Linked DNA regions of Drosophila melanogaster. The protein of the gene in region 1 interacts with the protein of each later gene in a pairwise test. Each region holds a gene or a part of one and is shown in the gene's direction. Other genes may lie near its edges.

The links. Proteins that work in one complex are often made in the same cells at the same time.
Region 2: the proteins of SPARC (region 1) and Hakai interact in a two-hybrid assay, tested with the Drosophila melanogaster proteins (one large-scale study listed by BioGRID).

The regions. Positions count from the first base shown.
Region 1 is NT_033777.3:26,869,974-26,880,961, reverse strand, and holds the start of SPARC (secreted protein, acidic, cysteine-rich), read left to right. Parts: upstream 1-8,966; 5' UTR 8,967-9,036; intron 9,037-10,394; exon of another isoform or gene 10,395-10,452; intron 10,453-10,589; 5' UTR 10,590-10,607; coding exon 10,608-10,769; intron 10,770-10,831; coding exon 10,832-10,988. Other genes in the region: CG5500 (uncharacterized protein), read right to left, coding at 617-877, 1,126-1,368; ro (rough), read left to right, coding at 1-397, 3,186-3,420, 3,793-4,069; ms(3)K81 (male sterile (3) K81), read right to left, coding at 4,452-5,006; Rb97D (ribonuclear protein at 97D), read left to right, coding at 5,350-5,418, 5,559-5,788, 5,861-6,105, 6,172-6,891, 6,946-7,097.
Region 2 is NT_033779.5:19,580,057-19,588,647, reverse strand, and holds Hakai (hakai), read left to right. Parts: upstream 1-6,173; 5' UTR 6,174-6,277; coding exon 6,278-6,641; intron 6,642-6,744; coding exon 6,745-7,292; coding exon of another isoform or gene 7,293-7,316; exon of another isoform or gene 7,317-7,362; coding exon 7,363-7,872; 3' UTR 7,873-8,036; downstream 8,037-8,591. Other genes in the region: CG10366 (uncharacterized protein), read right to left, coding at 2,422-2,665, 2,733-4,018, 4,096-4,302; PCNA2 (proliferating cell nuclear antigen 2), read left to right, coding at 4,721-4,828, 4,963-5,622; Pmvk (phosphomevalonate kinase), read left to right, coding at 8,518-8,591.

The DNA.
Region 1 (10,988 bases):
TACGGGCATTTGGAAACGCGCTCCTCGGAAAATGGGGAAATCGACGTCGGAACACACGCCCACAAGCCGCCGCCCTGTGACACGCCCTATCACAGCGATGGAGGAAGCGTCTCCTCGCCAGACATTTCCATCAGCGATGAACGCACCTCGCTAGCCGCATATCCCGCCTACGATTTCTATGGTCACGCCAAGGACTATCCGCAGCATCCTAGCCAGCAGCACCAGCAGCATCATCATCATCACCATCATCCGCCGCAGCTGGTGCACCAGAAACTCAGCTACGTGAGCCCGCCGCCAGCAATTGCCGCCGGTGGAGCTGCGAATCCTGTCCTGCCACACGCATTCCCAGCCGGCTTCCCAAGTGACCCGCACTTCAGCGCCGGCTTTTCCGCATTTCGTGAGTACTTACATTTAAAAAAGAATGGTTTCTAACAATGTGTAGAATATTTGCAAAGCTATGCAGAATCTTTAGAACTACGAAAATAACTTCTTCAGAACCTTAACTCTTACATGTTTATTTTGAGGTTTCTTAGTTCTTACACACTAAGTACAAGAGTAAATTTGAGCTACTACGAATTTGGTCCTAACTAGATATTTAGGTGAGCGGGGATTTGTACTACGGCGGGGGCGAGGATTTCTTTGGCTTTCCCTGCTTCGCTGCTTTCTCCGCCGCCGCCTTCTCCTCCCGCTGCTTAGCCATCTGGCGCAGCTCCAGGCTGAGGAACATCTTCAGGTTCGGGTCGGTGATCTTGCTCAGCACAATCTCTCGCGCCTCCTCATCGTTGTCGCCCAGCAGCTTGGCCAGCGTCTGTGCGTAGTCCAGCCAAACGCAGTTGGCGCAGCCCGACATGCAGCAGGTGGTGGGCTCGGGAGGTATCTGCAAACGATTATATAATATGCAATCTCTTGAGCCACTTTCCTCTTAGGATAGAAAGTTATTTCAGTATTGTGATAACAATTGGATCCTTCGATAATACTGCTCAATAGTTTTAGAAGTTCATAGAACTACACTAAGTTTTGTGTTACAATACTAGATCGATGATCCTTTCTTTCTAATGAACTACAATCTTACCAACTGATATTTAACCTATAATAGCAATGATAACAACTAGCTTACAACATTACCTCTATGTTTCTGAGCCGCTTCCTTCCCTTGGTGGTTTTATCTTTGGCTTTGGGAGTGTCAGTGCCCGTCGTTGTGCTATTGGGCGGACAGCCACTTGCTGCCTCCTGGGCGGCCGCATCCTTGCTGCTGGCATCATCCTGGGAGCTGCTGCCCGACAATTGGCGGGCCAGTGAGGCCCAACGCTCGGCGCCACGTCGCAGGAGCAAGCATCGCGGACAGCTGAAGCCCAGGGGAGCCAACATTTCCGCCCGATCCCCGAAAGAGTTCGAAAGTTACGATTGAAAAGGCCCAGAGGAAGTGATGAGCATTTCACACGCCTGCGCAGGTGCAGCCCAGATGAACTTGGTTCCGCAGGAACTGCAAAAAAAAAAAGTCGGATACGCAAAAAAAAACTGATTAATCGTCAGTGCTGCAATATTGAATATCCCCCACATCTTCGCACCGAGTGCGCTGGCCAGGATTATGTAAAATCAGTTGGAAAAAAATAAACGAAACTAAGGTGGGGCAACCAAGCAATGCCACACAATGAGCTGCTGCTGCTGCTGCTGCTGCTGACCCCCAAATGCAAAGAAATTAGCCAAGGAAAAAAAATAACCGAATGCCAAGAAAAAATTAAAACGCATTGAGCCGTGAAAGTTTTCGTTTACTTGCGGCTTTTTCGTTTGCTCCTGATGAGGTGGCCAAGGTGGCCAGGTGCGGAGATGAGGTTGAGGGGATATTGAAACATGGAAATGCGTCGGCTAATGAAAATGATCGCAGGTTAAGGGTGAATGGGTTAGCCATTCGTAAGCAAGAAATCAAAGTTAAAGACACTTTGAAACCTTTTCTACGAGCAGAAACGTATTCTACATATGCAAGCATTTTTTAGATTCAGAACAGTTGATATATTTAATGCTAAACCAGCTTGGTAGTTACTATAAGTACTTGATCTTTAAATTAACTAACTTACAAGCCAAACTTTTGGTCAATCTCAAAAAAATAACAAGTGTCTGAAAAAATTAGCATTGTAATTGAGCTCGGCAGGAAACCTAAAAAAGCAAACACAAACAGCAAGCGAGGAGGGTTAAGCGAGGAAGACTCATTTTTAGCCACAACAAACCGTCCGAAAGGACACTTGGCTATCGAATTACACACGTGATTTAAAAAAAAAAAAAAACCTTCGGCAAGGATCAGGGAAGAGCTTAAGCCCCTCCAGAGCCATCCGGACTAGGGGTAATCAAGCAAAAGCTAGAGATTACAACGCCCACAAAGCAACCCCTTCCCGGGGAAACCCCCCCTCCCCCCCCCCCACCATCCTAACACCACCGAGCAACTTGTCAGCTTCGCCTTGTTACATCAATTAGACTCTAAACCGCAACATTCACCATGGTGTGGGTGTTTGTGGTGGGTGTTCCTGGGTGGCAGGTGCTCGTTGTTGCAGGATGAAGTGGGGCATAATGTGCGCTTGGTTGAGCTTCATCGTCGGCGACACTGCGAATGCAAACAATCAAACGACAGAATGGAAAACTCGAAAGAGCGGATGATGCCGAGAATTTCGACGAGGATGATGATGATGATGATGGCCAGCCAGCTGTTGGCATTGTTATAACTTTCCCGGATCAGCATAGATTGCCGAAATGAAAAGCGTGGTAAAAAAAAAAACATAGAGAACAGAAACTACGTGGTAAATGCACTTTTAATGTGCACCACAAACGCGACCGACGACGAATTCTGGCAGGTGGGCGGGCGGAGAGAGCAAGAGAGGGAGGACGACGGATGGACCACGGATCGGAGTGGTTAATTATTTGTTTAACTGACGCAGCGACACGCAACCACATTCGAAAACGTTTAGTCCCGCTCATAACTTGATGGTTTGTTAATGTAAGATTAATTTCGCTCTAACATCTCCATTGTGTTGGACATAAACGAAAGTGGGTGGGCTGTGAAAAAATGATGCTATCCGACGGATGTCGTTATTGTACACACTGAATGGTGCGGGGTTTACATAACTAATAAGCTGATTCCAACTAGATATTATACACGTATTAATTGTAAGGATATCAATGTATTTGACTTTCAGTGGCTCGCAGGCGACGCAAGGAGGGAAGACAACGCCGCCAGAGGACCACTTTCAGCACAGAGCAGACGCTTCGCCTGGAGGTGGAGTTCCATCGGAACGAGTACATCTCCAGGAGTCGTCGCTTCGAGCTGGCCGAAACGCTGCGCCTGACCGAAACGCAAATCAAGATCTGGTTCCAGAATCGCAGGGCCAAGGACAAACGCATTGAAAAGGCTCAGATCGATCAGCACTACAGGTGGGTTTCCCCTTTAGCTAATTTGAATCGTTTTTTCTGTTTCATATGTACAAAGATATCATCGATTTTGATTGAGTTAAATAATATTAAATGAACATAAATTAATGGTTGATGAATAGCTCGTGAAGAGGATTTTAACTGGGTATTTATACCTGCATTTTCGAAACGGAAGTAATTTAGTGAAATGTCACTAGTTTAATTGATGGCCAACATGAAATTAACACGAAATTAATTTTACGACATTTATGCGCACACAGACCCAATTAGACGATATCATTTTTTTCCATATTTTTTTTTTTTTTTTTTTTTTTTTTTTGTGCCGGAGGGGGTTGCTCGAAATTATTTTGTACATTGATGTAATCAATTTTTCAGAAACTTTGTCGTGGCCAATGGTTTTATGAGCTCTATAATGGGTCAGGCTGCCACGACCATGCCCCCCGGAGGCGTCACTGGGGGCGTGGCGGTGGGCGTGGGCCTAAACTACTATGCCGCGGCAGCGACGCCGGCAGCGCTGCCCAAGGATAACACGCAGGATGCCAATTTCATCGACATCGATGACCAGTTCCAGCGCCAGCAACAACAAAAACAACAACAACAGCAGCAGCAGCAGCGACGTCGAGAAACAACAACGCCTATTAACATTTGCTAATACTTGCTAATTGATTACATTTATTTGAGCTTTAAACTGTTTAGATTAAGATCGAATAAAAGTCATTGTGAAAACATAACAGATTGCAGGAATTGCACTTTTCGAAGAAATCACTCACTGCTTGCCAACAAACTTACGTGTGTTGTTATGGACTCAGCATTTTGCACTTGATTTATTTATATAAGAGAGGGTTTTTGAGGGAAAACCAGGAAATTTGTTAAAAACCAAACAGCAAAACTAACAAACAATAATGCAGCCCTGGTGCTCAGCCAGCTGTTTCTGCTGCTAATAACATGGCGGAAACTATCGATAGATGGTTACATAGATGGTAACAGTGTTATTTCAAATTTAATTTATGAAAATATCCTAAATGAAACAAACATTATCCCCCAGTAGTTCCCGCCAGATAAATGGCCATAGCTTCACGATTTAGATGCACAAACTGGCGCCTTTTCGGAATTGGTTGGACATTCGGTAGCCGCGTTCCATTCACGGCATTCAAACTCAGATTCGAGCTGGGATCGTAGTCATCGGAGAAAAGTGTATCGTCGGAAGAATTGGACTCAACCAACTGGCTTCCTGCTCTTTGAGCCGCCGCCGCCGGCGCTGCGCTAGTGGTTGATTCTTGCTCCTCCGAGGATTGTGTTGTGGACACACTAGCCGCGGACTCATGAGATTTCTCACTACTGCTCCTCGAGAGAATAGCACTGGCTGCCTGTCTATTTGCCAGGTGTCTCTTCGCATTGTTGTTCTTCAGCCGGTAGAGCTGGATCAGTTGCGTGTAGCACGAGAGGCACAGTGGCTGAGACCGCAGCTCCGAGTTTATCAGCTGGCCAAACTTCAGCAGGTGCGGATTTCTGATTACGCGGTACGGGGACCTCAGCGTGTGATTCCCCAGACCGCACAAGCGGTGCTCCTCATGGGGCGAATCCGACATTAGAACTTAAGTTGAATACTCAATTGAATGCATAAAGGGGCTAGTATACGTTGGCGGTTTTCGCTTTGCTTCTGAAAAACTATATTACAATTTGACAGCTATCGCATATCCAATTCGTGTATGTATTTATTATTACGATAGTAAAGAAACTTGGCACTTTAGAAATTTCAAGAATACCCCTAACCAACTTATCGATAACAAACAGAGAGAGTGGGTGTATCGAATCAATGATTCGCTTCCTGACAGCACAATTTTCACTTCGCTTCAACCGTTCGACGTGCAAACTGGTCGTTTTCGTTTCTTAATTTCGGTTAAATTTAGTGATAATTAATTTGCTAACACAATGGTGAAGGATGAGCCCCTATCGGACGAGTCCGCCGATGTGATTGTGCTTGCAGATCGCGAGGAAGATGTAAGTACATACGCGTACCTTTCTGTGCATGTATGCGGCTTGGCAAGTGACGCACCTATATTTGTTTCCCTTCACACATACCACCCTTCACCACATGCCAACCCACTTGGCTAACCCACTTACCACCTCTGCACCGGTAGGACATATGCGAGCTGGAGCACTTGCGTAAGCTCTTCATCGGCGGGCTGGCCCCGTACACCACCGAGGAGAACCTGAAGTTGTTCTACGGCCAGTGGGGCAAGGTGGTCGATGTTGTGGTGATGCGCGATGCTGCCACCAAGAGATCTCGCGGCTTCGGCTTCATCACCTACACAAAGTCTCTCATGGTCGACAGGGCCCAGGAGAACCGTCCGCACATCATCGACGGCAAGTGAGTATAGACTTGGTGGGGGATCATATCGTACCAAGAATAGATCTATACCATGAGGCCTTTCGCTTCCAGAACTGTGGAAGCCAAGCGTGCTCTGCCCCGTCCCGAACGCGAATCGCGCGAGACCAATATATCCGTGAAGAAGCTGTTCGTAGGCGGTCTTAAGGATAACCACGATGAGGAATGCCTTCGTGAATACTTCCTCCAATTCGGGAATGTAGTCTCCGTTAAATTGCTTACTGACAAAACCACTGGCAAGCGTCGCGGCTTCGCCTTCGTCGAGTTCGACGACTACGATGCAGTGGATAAGGCTATCCGTAAGCATAAAAGCTAAAATGCTAAATATTAGATTGATATTAATTATGAACCTTCATCCCGTTTAGTTAAAAAGCAACATGCGATTAAGTACGTTCACGTGGACGTCAAGAAGTCCATTTATAACCTGGACAAGAAGGAGAAACAGCAGCCAGGTGGGCTGGCCAACGCCATCAAGCCGTCGCTCAATCAGCAGCAGCAACAGCAGGGTGGCGGACAGCAGCCACCTAATGGCAATATGCAGGCACCTAGCTTTCGACCACCAGTGCCGCCACAACAGGCCATGGGCCCCTACCAACAACAGCCACCACCGGCGCCTATGTCTGCTCCACCACCAAACTTCAACTACTGGGGACCACCTCCGCCGGCTATGCCGCCCTACTACCAGCAGCCACCGCCGCAGCAGATGAACGGCTGGGGTCCATATCCGCCGCCGCAACAAAATGGCTGGAATGCACCACCACCGCCACCACCGGGTGCCCAGCAGTGGCACGCCAACCAGTGGGGTTGTCCTCCACCAGTGCAACAGGTGCCGCCGGTTGGAGCAGTGCCACCACCCATGGGTCACAATGGACCACCGCCGACGGCTCCAGGTAACTGGAACATGCCGCCCCCAGTGCCGGGTGCAGCTCCTCCATCCCACCAGCAGCAGTCTTCGCAACAGCCAACACCACAACCAAATTTCGGCACTGGCTATCAGCAAAACTACGGAGGCGGACCATCCAAGCACAACAATATGAATGCAAACCGCATGAATCCTTACTCGGCAGGTCCGCCCAACAGCTACCGTAGGTATAATCCATTATTAAAGACATGTAATTTTGAACAGCTACTAATTGTAGACACTCCTCAACCACCAGCATATACGGGCTACAACGCTGGACCACTGCCGCCTAATGGAAGCGTTCCGCCGCCAACTGGGGCCAAGGCTGTTGGCGTATCCAATGGCTCCGTGGCCACTGGAGGCAGTGCCAACAGCAAATATCGCCGCTAGATTGGGTGAGTAGCCGTACCCGCCATTAGTCGTTTCTTTTGAATGTGGTCTATGCATAAGAGCTACCTCAAATACGTCTTGCCACGAATATATCCATATACGCATATATTACTCGCCATTGATGCACTACGTCTGAAGTACTTGTTTATGTGTAATTACTAATGTCTAAAATTCTCTTTGATTTAGATGCTCTTTGGGCGGCTAAAGCTCAAGAATCAAGACACTCTTTAGTAAGCTCGTTCATAAGCTAGGCCACACTCGCTTAGAGTTACTAAGCAGGAAACTTAACGCATTGTCTCTCTATCATAGGACAACTAACTACGATTTTACTGTACACTTAAGCTATACCATTGATTACCCTACGATTGACCTAAGCTATGGCAGACTATATATAACTATTTTATACAACGTATTGCGAGGAGCGAGCACTTCTCCAGTTCGAATTACTCTAGACATAATTATGAAACTCTGTATCGTAGAAGAATGCCCAAAATACGATACGAAATTACAACAGGCTCTCTATTTAAATCTAAACCTCTCTCTCTATCTGTAAAACAAGAAGAAGGATTGTGCAATGGTGGAGGATGGAAGAACAATTGCCAATCAAGATCAATTAATTAGACATAAATCACGGAGCTGTAGCCTGAGCTTATTGGCCCAAAACAAGTAGTTTAATCGTAGATGCCTATGTATTACCTAAACCATTCAAATAAGAAGATACGTCCAAACAAAAAAAACACAAGAAACAAGAAACAAGAATATAAGAATCCGGAGCGAAGTCGGATCCCAAATCAAATCAAATCATACGCAGGGCTGGCGGGCGTGGCCTTAACTATTAATGTACACAAGAGATGATATCAAAACAAATGTCAATTTTTACAAGAAGCAAGAATCGGACACTTATATACTGTATTAATGTTAAAGGTTTCTTATCTCGTCGCCCACGATGTTAATTCATATACTACATATATCTCTTCTTATTTGTATATCATGACGAACTCAAAGAAGTGTATATACCCGAAAAAAATGCGAAGAAAATGTATATGCTTTCGGATTAACTAGACTTACGATTTATTCTCGACTCTCTCCTATTATTAAGCTGTTGTGCACGCCAAGGGCTTTGAATTGATCTTTATATATAATGCAGTACTGAAATAAGAGAGGTCTAGTCCACAATTTGCAAGATTCGTTATGCTGCATTATCGAGATACAATTTATCACTTAACCGAACTCTATGAAAACCCATACGCATATTTATTTTAAATAAATACAAATTAAAAACAACACTATGTATTTGTTTTAGCTGACGATATGTAAGTCTCTTTCTCTTTAGCGATAGCATAAACTATATTTAGTTACCGTTATGCCATTCTAGATACAAACAAATATCGCTCTAATTTTAAACATACTCTACTCTACAAAATACTCTTGAGACAAAGTTAATTCGTAAGGTAAGTTAGTAACGGATCTCATCTAGGATAAACTAGAGTTTTTATAAGTGCTCTTAAGTTTCTAACTTATGTGTATCTTGTTATCGAATCTTTATTACGCTTTTCTAAGCAAACAACCTATTTCTTTTCCAAAAAAAAAATAAACCCCCGGAGCAACGCTGGAGTGGCCTATTTCAAAAGACCAAGGCTCAAGTTTCCCATAAACTATGAGGTACGTAGAAGAGGACACGATTTATTTTATGTGTTGAAAAGCAAGAAACCAATAAAAAAGAGCTGCCAAAATCGAAGCAATCAGTGTTTTTATTCCAAGCGAACATGTTGGGAGCCAACACGTTGGAGGCGACACCAAAACCATGGGCAGGCAGTGCTCCATGCTCCACTTTGGCGATCCGTAATCATTCCGAAGCTTTTCCACAGGCAAACAGTCGCCTGCCATCCGCCAACGCGATTAGACATTTGAAGGGAAACACTTTTTCATTGAACGCACAGTGAGTACTCACGCAGAGTGAAACAAAGGATTGAGTGTCGTAATCGGATTAACAAAACAAGTGTGTGACATATGCAGATACAGATACTTTGCTTGTTCCTCAAATTTCTGCAAGCTCAGCTCTGGCTCGAGTTGCTCAAGTTCAATGTTCCTTGCTCATTGGCAAATAGTCAATCAATTGGACTTTATTTTCGATGAAATCAGTTCGTTAATTGGTCAGAACTGAGAAGCAAAAGTAAGTCCAGTGATTTGCAAGGTCAACTGTGAATTGCACTTCCGCCAATTCAAGTAGATTGTATCTGCTTTTGGTCCACTTTCATTCGCGATGCATAAACATTGCATCTTGGACACTGCATCACGTCATTGTTTCTAGTTTCGTCGGCATAATTAAACAAACACATGTGGAAGTATATATTGCATTGTATACATAGATATATATGTGTGCAACATGTGGAATGCACTGCAGCAGCATCCCACTCTCGGATATTCCTGGAAGCTCCATTCCGCGAGATCGCGTATACATTTCTCAATTGCCAGATACATAGCTGCGCATTTGACTTGATGTTCAGCGGCACAAAAGCGACGATTAAGCACATCTTGCTTGTGCTACCCAAAACGGAAGCGACCGACCGATCCTGATAAGCGGCGGTGGGGCCAAGTCGGGCTGGAACCTGATAAGCCAACTGTGTCGTTGGGCAACCAATGATGTGCCATATATGCCATATAGCACATGTACTAAGATTGAGCATAGAACTGGGGCGACATCTTGAAATGATTACGAAAATTCGGCTTGAGTTTAGCCTGTGTGTGTGTTTAGCAATAGGATTAAGGTCAGCTTTAATCAGGTATATTCGCATTAATGGGAGCATCTGCATATATAGATGATTTCATAAACGATTTGAACTGCTCAACATGTGTTCAACATGCCCCAAATTCTGAAATATTCAAACATATTTCAAATTTGCGGTTGCAAAAAGCGAGAAAAATGCTTATTTGCAGCAGGCAGCAGGAAATGAAAAGCAAACATTGAAAATTCTGAGATTTTATCCATTCCCCCGACTTTGTTTCTATTTTAAAAACTCCAGATCTGCAGTAGTCATCTTCCGCCATCAATGAGTTGGCTTTGTTGTTCCACAAGATCTAAAGATCCATAAATAAAATTGCCCATAAAAGGAAATGCATCTGTATCTGCGCGCCACATTCGCGTTGACCTTTTGAACCCTGCAAGATTTTTGCGGCTTCTTCAATTGTTTTCAATGAGCAAAAAGACGCCGCACGAGATGTGCATGTAAAACCACCCCGTTGTTTGGTGGTTACAAGATCGCCAGTGGAGTACAGTAACGACGCAGCGCACACGGTACAGTCGCAAACCAATCCTTGAAACGGAAGTTGGGCCAGGGCCACAGCTAATCTCAATGTAATTTGGGTTTTCACAATCGCAATGACTTGATAATGTACTCTATTTATAAAGGCACTTTTAGTTCCAAATATATAGTTTAAATATAAAGAGAAGAAAAAGGTGTTTTAAAGATGCTTTACTTGCAATCCCTGTAGTTGAGATCGCCATTCGAGATGCGCTCCCTTTGGCTGCTGCTCGGCTTGGGCCTGCTGGCTGTGAGCCACGTCCAGGCCTCTACGGAGTTTTCCGAAGATCTGCTGGATGAGGACCTCGACCTGTCCGACATCGATGAGAACGAAGAGGAGTTCCTGCGCCTGCTGGAGGAGAAGAACAAGGCATGTGGCCGCAAGTCAAACCACAAATCACACTTAATGCACTAACTGAATTCCATTCGCAGATCAAGGATATTGAGCGCGAGAATGAGATTGCCACCAAGCTGGCCGAAGTGCAGCACAATCTACTCAATCCCGTTGTCGAGGTGGATCTGTGCGAAACGATGAGCTGCGGAGCCGGTCGCATCTGCCAGATGCACGACGAGAAGCCCAAATGCGTGT
Region 2 (8,591 bases), on another chromosome or scaffold:
AAAAAGAAACAGAGTGCGAGCAGCAATCTTCCTGGGGTGGCAAATACAAGGAGCCCAAACTCGGGACCAGAAGGACAATAAAGTTGGAGGCACAAAGACAAAGCAAAGGCCACAGGCGGGAGTTCAGAGGTTGCAGTTGCAATTTGGGTCAAGCCAACAAGATAATGCGGTTCGCGGCTTCTATCCACTTTTTCCTGCCCGCCGCTCAAAGTTTTGTTTGCATCTTCCACTTCGCAAGGAGCCCGCGTTTTAATTCCAACTTTCGGTCTGAATTTTCGGTAGTGAATTTAACATAACGTCCAGTTTTAGCAACTTTAACTTGATTCCCGTGACTTAATGAAAAGCTATTTATGTTTTGAGATTTTTGTGGGATTCCCAAAAACTTCAGGAACAAATGCTCGAATTTGATAAGTGTATAAGTGGGGTATATTTAATACTATGGTTTCGACAATAATTTCATCTAAGTTTTAATCTAATCAATTTAATAGATATAAGGCATGTTTTAGAACATAAACTTGCAACTCTGTATCAGTCAAAAGCAACGCTCTTTGAAAGATACTTTTTGATTAGATTTCATAGCTAAAGTATCTTTAAGTACAAACCAAAAAGGTTTGAGTTGGCAATGCAAACCGATTTGGCAAATGTCCGTGCTGAGCTATACTAATAACTTAATATATTTTGGGCAATGTTAGGCACTCTATTTCTTAATCTTTATAGACCCTCAATCCTGACATTCTGATTTACACAATCACCACCCATTTGATTTCATAGATCTCCGAATGAAGAAGAGTTAAAAGCGGGCTTGCTGCACCGATTCGGAAGGCACACTGCACTGTTGCGTCGGATTACGGACACCAGACACATTTTGGAGGCGACTCTGGGACTTTGCCACCGTCTCCGCTGGCCAACTTCGAGTCCGCCCACGCAACTATGAATTTTCATGGGACTGGTTTGGTTTGCTTTGGTTTTGGAACAACAATTGCGAGCAGCACGACGAGATTTCCATGCTGCTGGGTGTTGGGTTTTGGGTTTTGGGTTTCTCGCACACATGTTACACATTTTCATCGATTCGTAGCAGTGGCTTTAGTATATGGCGGAGTAATTAATGGCAAAAACTTACAACAGAATCGATTTTTATTCACACGGACACTCAAACACACACACAAACACACACACACACATGCAAGTGGCGCGTAGTGTGCGTAAAAAACAAGTGGGAAAAACGCCGACAAAAAGTCTCGATATACAGGGTGCAATTCGAAAACGCTCACTTTGCTGGTACTCGGAACACCGATAGCAACACTTTGCACAACAAATACGAGCTGAGAGTGACGAAAAACAATAATTTTTTGATAATTTCGCGCAGCCAAAGCGATGTTGGTGTTGTTCTTTCGTGTGGTTCGCGAGCGAACTGATTCCGAAAATCCGAAACCAGGGATGGGGTGGCACAGAAACAGCTGTGGAGTCGCGGACCAGGGCTGCGCAGGAACTTTTAACTTACTTAAAAGTGTTACTTTTCGTAACGTTAACAATTTGTTTAAGATCATTTTTTTTTACTTACACTTCGTATTTTTGATTTGATCTTTTGTTAGGTTCTTGTGTCAGCTGCTTTGCCTGCTCTTTTGATTTTCGCACCCACTCTCAACTAATTTCACTGAATATTTAATTGAAAGACTATTTTTTCGTAAAGCTTTCGGTTTTCAATCCACTTTTCACACTTCGCAGCCCAAATTTGGTTATTTGAAGTTCATCGTTCGTTTTGGGGCATTTAGTGCACTTTGTTTTTATTGGGGGATAAATCGATTTTTTTGATTTTTCGGCTCGCACGTCGGAGTAAAGGGACGCACTTCACACTTCCTTTTCCACACTTTGTTTACTGCCCAATTTGGTCATGTTGGATTCAGGGATTATTTGCTTGGGCTTTTCACACATCTCAACGGCTTTCAATTCGATTTACTGGTTTTCGGCAAAAGTTTTCATCAAGAGCAGGACACGAGAAGGCGCACGCTGTCAACTGAACTAAATTCCTTTATACCAGGACAGGATTCAAATGGGGGTGGCTTCGCTTCGCCTCAGATTCCGACTCCGGAACCCAGAGCACATGCGCCATCCACGGATGCGTTCAAATCCCACTTTCCCGCTCGCGCACTTGAGTTATTCCGGAACCATAAACAATAAAATGTACCCGAAATAGAAAGATCCTAACTCATAAGCAAAATATTTAATTTCCCGTAGAAGCTCTCTTTCTAATTACATTAGCTCATATACTTTAAATTAATTATTAAGTCGACTTACACATTCTAGTGTATGCAAAACAATCTCAACTATATCTTTAAACAGCTATAAATACACAACATACGGCGAATTTGGAAACAAAACTTCAAACTTGTGCTATTTGAAGGGGTGAACTCAAGTGGGGGGTCAGCGATAGTCGATCATGATATGGTTATAAATATTATCTAACGTGGGTATAGCCGCAGCTGGGGTATCAGCTTGGGTGGCGTTCTCCCCTCCGGGATCAGGCGCTGGTTCAGGCTGAGCATCTTGGATGACGGCGGGATTCGAAGCTGGAGTATCCTTGGTGGCTGGCCTCGGTTTTTTGCCGAAGGCGAAGCAGCCACTCTGTTTGGTGGCCACCGGCGACAGATTGTCCTTGTTCTTGGTGCTACAAACGGAATTGTAATGGAATCATTTAGAAATTGTCATTATATGTACGATTTTGGTTAACCTACAATGCCTTGAGCGCCTCCAGCTTGGGTATATTTCTGTTGTGCGACCTGCCGCCGCCCGCCGCTTCTTGAGCAGCCAGCTCCTCGGGATGCGACTTCTTCTTGTGCGTGCGGCAGTTGGAGCCGTTGGCAAAGGTGCGGTCGCAAAAATCGCAGGAGTAAGGCTTCAGTCCTGTGTGCAGGATGAGGTGATTCTTCAGCGCCTTGGCGCGCTTAAACTCCCGGCCGCAGTAGTCGCACTTGTGCTGCATCTGATCCGTGTGCACCAGTCGATGGCGATTCAAGGTGGTCCGCGAATTCAGCTGCATTCCGCATTCGGGGCAGATGTACTTGTGCGGATCATGCGTCTCCTTGTGGTGTTTCAGACGATTGGCCGACTTAAAGCACTTCTTGCACACCTCGCACTCGAAGGGGGCGTAGTCCGTGTGCTTGAGGACGTGCTCCTTGAGCGCGCTCATCGAGTGCACACCCACACCGCACTGCTCGCAAATCACCGGCCGCGGCCGCTCATCCAGGTGCATGTACTGCTCGTGCTGCTGGGCGGATGCACTGGTGGCGAACTTCTTGTCGCAACTGCTACAGGCGTACTGCTTGCGCTTGGGCAGGGGCACGTGCCATTTCATGTGCCTCTCCAGCTGGTAGTGTAGACGAAACTTCTTGGGGCAATCCGGGCATTGCAGCTGCTCGGTTGTGGGCTCAGTCTGGCCATGATCCTGGCGCAGGTGGCGCTGCAGGGTTTTGGACGTGGCGTAGCTTCGCAAGCACTCGTTGCACTGGTGTCTTTTCTCAGAGTCTGCTGCATCCTCTCCAGCTTTTTCGGTACTCGGCGAGGAGCCATCCAAGCTGCCAGCAGAAGAGTTATCCTCCTGAATGCCATACACATCGCAGAGGCTCATTAGTACACGATCTTCATTCGGTTCGTAGTCGGCATCCTGCTCATCTGGCTCCTCCGTCGGCTGATCCTGCTCCTGATCTACGCTTTCCTGCTTTTCCTCTGGCGTTAGTGGGTTTGCCAGCTCGTAAGGCGACTCCTCTGGCAGAAACTCGAGCTGTTCATCCAACTTCGGCTTCTTGTCCACATAGTGCACCTCAGTCTGCGTCTCCTCGTCCAGCAAACCAAATTTCGAGCGCAGCTCGTGGAGATTTGGCCTCTCCTGGCTGGGCGTGCTCTGCAGGATGCAGTAAAGCTTCTGCACGCGGGTAATCCGTTCCGAGAAATTCACCAGCGAGGTGACCAGCGACAGGCACTCACTGCATATCGTCTCCGGCAGCTCTTCACCTCGAGTTATCTGATGATGGGGCAAGAGAAATCAAGATAAGCTGGTTAGCTTGTGGAAATCCAAGGAGCCACGAGGAGCGCACTCACATTCACCCAGAAGTACTTGCCAATGGCGGTGGCCAGTTCCATGGAGGCTGCCTCGCCGGAATCCTCGTTCTTGAGGAACACATTCAAGTTGCCTTGCACGTCGTCCTTGGCGCACAGGCGACACCACTGTCGCCAGTCGCTGCTGGGATTTCGATCGACATGGGGAGCCGCCGGAGCAGCGTGCATCTCCACCTGCGCGGCGGCCATCGGGGAGCTCAGCAGTTGGTTATAAATAAACAAATAAATAAATAAAGCGTAAACATATTGGATTGGATGGCTGGATCCGAGCTGGAACTGGATCTCGAACTAGAACTGGAGCCGGAACCAGTGTTGCAGATGCTGCCAGATCAGTCGGATTAAGTGATTTCAATTGGATACCCTTAAATAGAAAAGGATTAACCTACAGCTTTAAGTCAAATTCTAAGATCTATGTTCACTAGCTTCATCATCAGACATCAAATGAACTTAAATCCGCAACCGAAACTAATCTAACAAGCTTTGTTCTTAACTCCGCAGCAGTCCGGCATCTCTACACTTGCAGCGAAACAGCTGACTGGCTTCATTTTGTTTGTTTCCAATTGTGAATTTAACGGGACAGCGATTGTCAATTTTGAAAATTGGAAAAATGCTCGAGGCGCGTTTGAGTCAGACTTTGCTGCTGAAGAAGATCGTCGATGCACTAAAGGAAATCATCGCCCAGGGAACGCTGGACTGCAGTGAAAATGGTCTGGAGGTGAAGAGAATAACCCTCCATCTGTCATTTTGTTTCGAATTCCCATAAAAGCTGTTAAGTAGTTCCATTGAGACTTGGGACTGAAAATGAAAAGTTGAGATAAGAAATAAAGCTTTTACAACTCTATATTCCAGCTGCAATCGATGGACAACTCCCACGTTTCGCTGGTGGCCCTAAGTCTGGCTTCGGATTGTTTTGAAAAGTTTCACTGCGATCGCAATGTCTCGCTGGGCTTGGATCTGAAATCCCTGGGCAAGGTGCTTAAGTGCGCCAATAGCGACGATGCGGTCACCATTAAGGCCGTTGACAGACCGGAGAAGATTACGCTCAGCTTCGAGTCGGATGGCAAGGAGCGCACGGCGGACTACGAGCTGAAGCTCCTCAATCTGGACCAGGATCACATGGAGATTCCGAAAAAGGACTACACCTGCTTCATCCAGTTGCCGTCGTCAGAGTTCGCGCGCATTTGCCGGGACATGAGCATGTTCGACGAGTCCCTGACGATCGCCTGCTCCTCGAAGGGCATCAGGTTCTTGGCCAAGGGAGATCTGGGCACGGCCAACATTCAGCTGAGTGCGGGCACCGCCATGGACGTGAGCATTGAGGTGCAGGAGCCCGTGACCCAGTCCTTCGCCGGTCGCTACCTCAACACCTTCACCAAGGCCACTCCGCTGGCAGATCGCGTCAAGCTCTACCTGTCCGACGAGCGGCCACTCCTGGTGGAGTATCCCATCGAGGATTACGGCCACATTCGATACTACCTTGCACCCAAGGTGAATGACCCCGATTTCTAGCTGAAGAACTACTCAACTCAGTTATTGCATAAATTCGAGCGCAATTTAAAGCATAAGGAAAGGGGATAAACGATATTTTTAGGCAACAAATACCAAAAATCATTTTTTTTAAAGCATAGTATAAAAATATAACTTGTAATAAAAACTATTTAATTGTAATTAAAAAAACATTTTACAAATTCAAATTTATATACGAAAAAACTAATTTTAAACCTTGTTATTAATTATTATTAAGTTTTTAAGGTTATCTTAATGTAGATCTCACATTTTCTATTCAGAATACTTTTGTTTTTTCATGTTGAAGCTACAAAAGAAATTAGTAAGCTATTAATATGATACAAGAACGGTTAAATAGATGCTTATAATTATTGTTTTTTTTTATGTTTTTTTTTACATTCATTAAATTCAAATTAGTTTAAAAATAATTGAAAAACAGATAAAATTAAAATTAAACAAGTAAAAATATTGTATTTTAAACTGACCAGTGATGCCGGACCTTTTGATGGCCAGTGTTGTTAGGCGCAGACTGGTCACCCTAAGTTACTGCACGTATGTGGGAACAGCTGACAACCCTGGCCAAACGCAAATGCGGAGCTAAACAAAAACCGAAAAACTTAAAAACCGGCATAAAATCCCACGCAAGTACAAGTGAACAATGGACACCGAGGAAGTGAAGCGCGGCCGCGGACGAGGGCGTGGCACCAGGGCTCGCGGGCGCGGACGTGGCCGAGGACGCGGTCGTGGCAAGAAAATCGACGACAGCAGCATCGCCGACGCCGCAGCCCTGGCGGCCAGCAGCTGTGCAGCCCTGGAGGACAGTCCGGGAAGACTGGACGCCTCCGAAGATTCGGTCATGCAGGAGCTCGACAAGGACGGCGAACTGGAAACGCCCGGCGCTCTGGAGGAGCCCCTGCCGCACGGTGCGCTAGGAGCGGTCGCCGCCAGCGGGAACATGACTCCAGCGACGCAACAGCCACAGGTCCTGCAGCAAGTGCCACCGCCCGTGATGAGCCAAACAAGTGAGTCTCCTCCCCTATTGAATGGTTGTCCAAGATAGTTAAATTGATTAACATCTTGGCTTGACCAATTCCTTGGTATCCAAACTTGAAGCATTGAACAAAGCTATCTCGCTATCTCTCGCCCGCGCAGTCGACATGGAGGCGGACATATCGCAACTGGAGGCGCCCACTTTCACCACGCTTTCGCGCGGACCGCCGGAGCCGATGCTGCGCCTTAAGTGGAACCACAAGGTGAGCCTGATCGGCGAGAAGGTGCTGAACCCGATGATCCACTGCTGCGATCAGTGCGACAAGCCGATCCTCGTCTACGGCCGCATGATACCCTGCAAGCATGTATTTTGCCTCAAGTGCGCCCGCGCCGAGCCCATCAAGAGTTGTCCCCGCTGCACGGACAAGGTGTTGCGCGTGGAGCAGAGTGGCCTGGGCACCGTGTTCATGTGCACGCACGGCGGCAGTCGCTACGGCAGCTCCGGCTGCCGTAGAACATACCTTTCGCAACGCGACCTGCAGGCGCACATCAATCACAGACATGTGGCGCCGCAGCCGCCACCGTTGCAGCCACAGCCGCAGCTGTCAGCCATGGCGGAGCAGCCAAAAATGACGGATCTGGGCGGCGTCGGTCTGGGCCTGGAGTTGCACAAGCAGCGCAAGGCGAGTGGTAGCTATGGCTCCTAAACTAAGCTGTCCTGTCTATAAAAAAACAACCGCTTGCCCCTTGCAGCTCTCCGAGTCGTCTGTCCCCATATCCGTTTCCGCCTCCATTGCGTCCCGTCCCGTCCTGTCGCGGCTGCCACTGACCGGCGGTGTCGGTAACATCGGTAGTATTGGTAGTATACCGCCACCAGGATCCGCCGCCGCCGCCCAAAACGCCATCCACGGCGGCCACTCGACGCTCACGCTGGCCAATTTGACCAGGATCAACAATGCCAATGCGCAGGAATGTCACCAGGGCAAGGCCTCGCTGCACCACACGCTCAAGAAGGGCACGCCCCACCAGTCCGAGTCGGTGGCGGATGCCTCCTACTACAGCAGCGTGCTCGCCTCCTTTGGCAGTGCGGCCGGGAATCCGGGTTCTGGGCCACCCGGCGGTGGGGCAACAGCAGCAGCACAGCCCGCCAATCCGAGTGGCAGCCATTCCGCTGTTGGCCCAGGTGCCCTGATTGGAGGCTCCACCGACGCGCCAACTGGTGGCTCGAGTGGCAACTGGCAGCAGTCGCAATACTACAGATAGGGGGACGAAAGCGAGGGGCTAGTAACCAGGGTAGACGCTTTAACGCAGGCACGCAGGCTTTTAATTAAGTGAACAAGTGTATGTTAAGCTGAACTGAACACTATTAAAGATATTTTACGGGGTTAGGCCAACCCGAACCAAAAAATAAATGCTACTCCGGTTTTAAAGCTTGGGCTAAACTTAATTCTTAATGTAGTAGTGAAGTGGTTATCGTGGCGAACAAATCAGGATAACAATTTTATGAATACCTTTGCGGTTCTCAAGCTGAACGAAATTCAAAAATCCCGCCCGATTGGCGGCCAATCGATGACGGTACGGTTTCCACTCGAGCTGAATGAAATTCAAAAAGCCCGCTCGATTGGCCGCCTATCGATGACGATACGCTCCAGCTGGTTGCTGTTCCAGCGAAATACAAAAGGTAAACAAATGCGACTTGGAGCACAGACTTCGAATGGAGCATTAGCATAAACACAACAGGCCGCAGTGCCGGAGTCAAGTGGCAGGGCCCAGGGTGAACACAACCACATCCAGTATCTGATGAGCACAGCGTAGAACTTAGGAAATCGAGGCCACAAGCAGAAGCAGCAGGAGAAGCAGCGGTTGTGAAAGAAGTTGGCGAGCAAAAGTGAAAGTTGCGCCAGAAAAATGATGAAAATTGTACTCATCAGCGGCAAGCGAAAGTGCGGCAAGGATTACATATCCGAGAGGCTGCAGCGGAG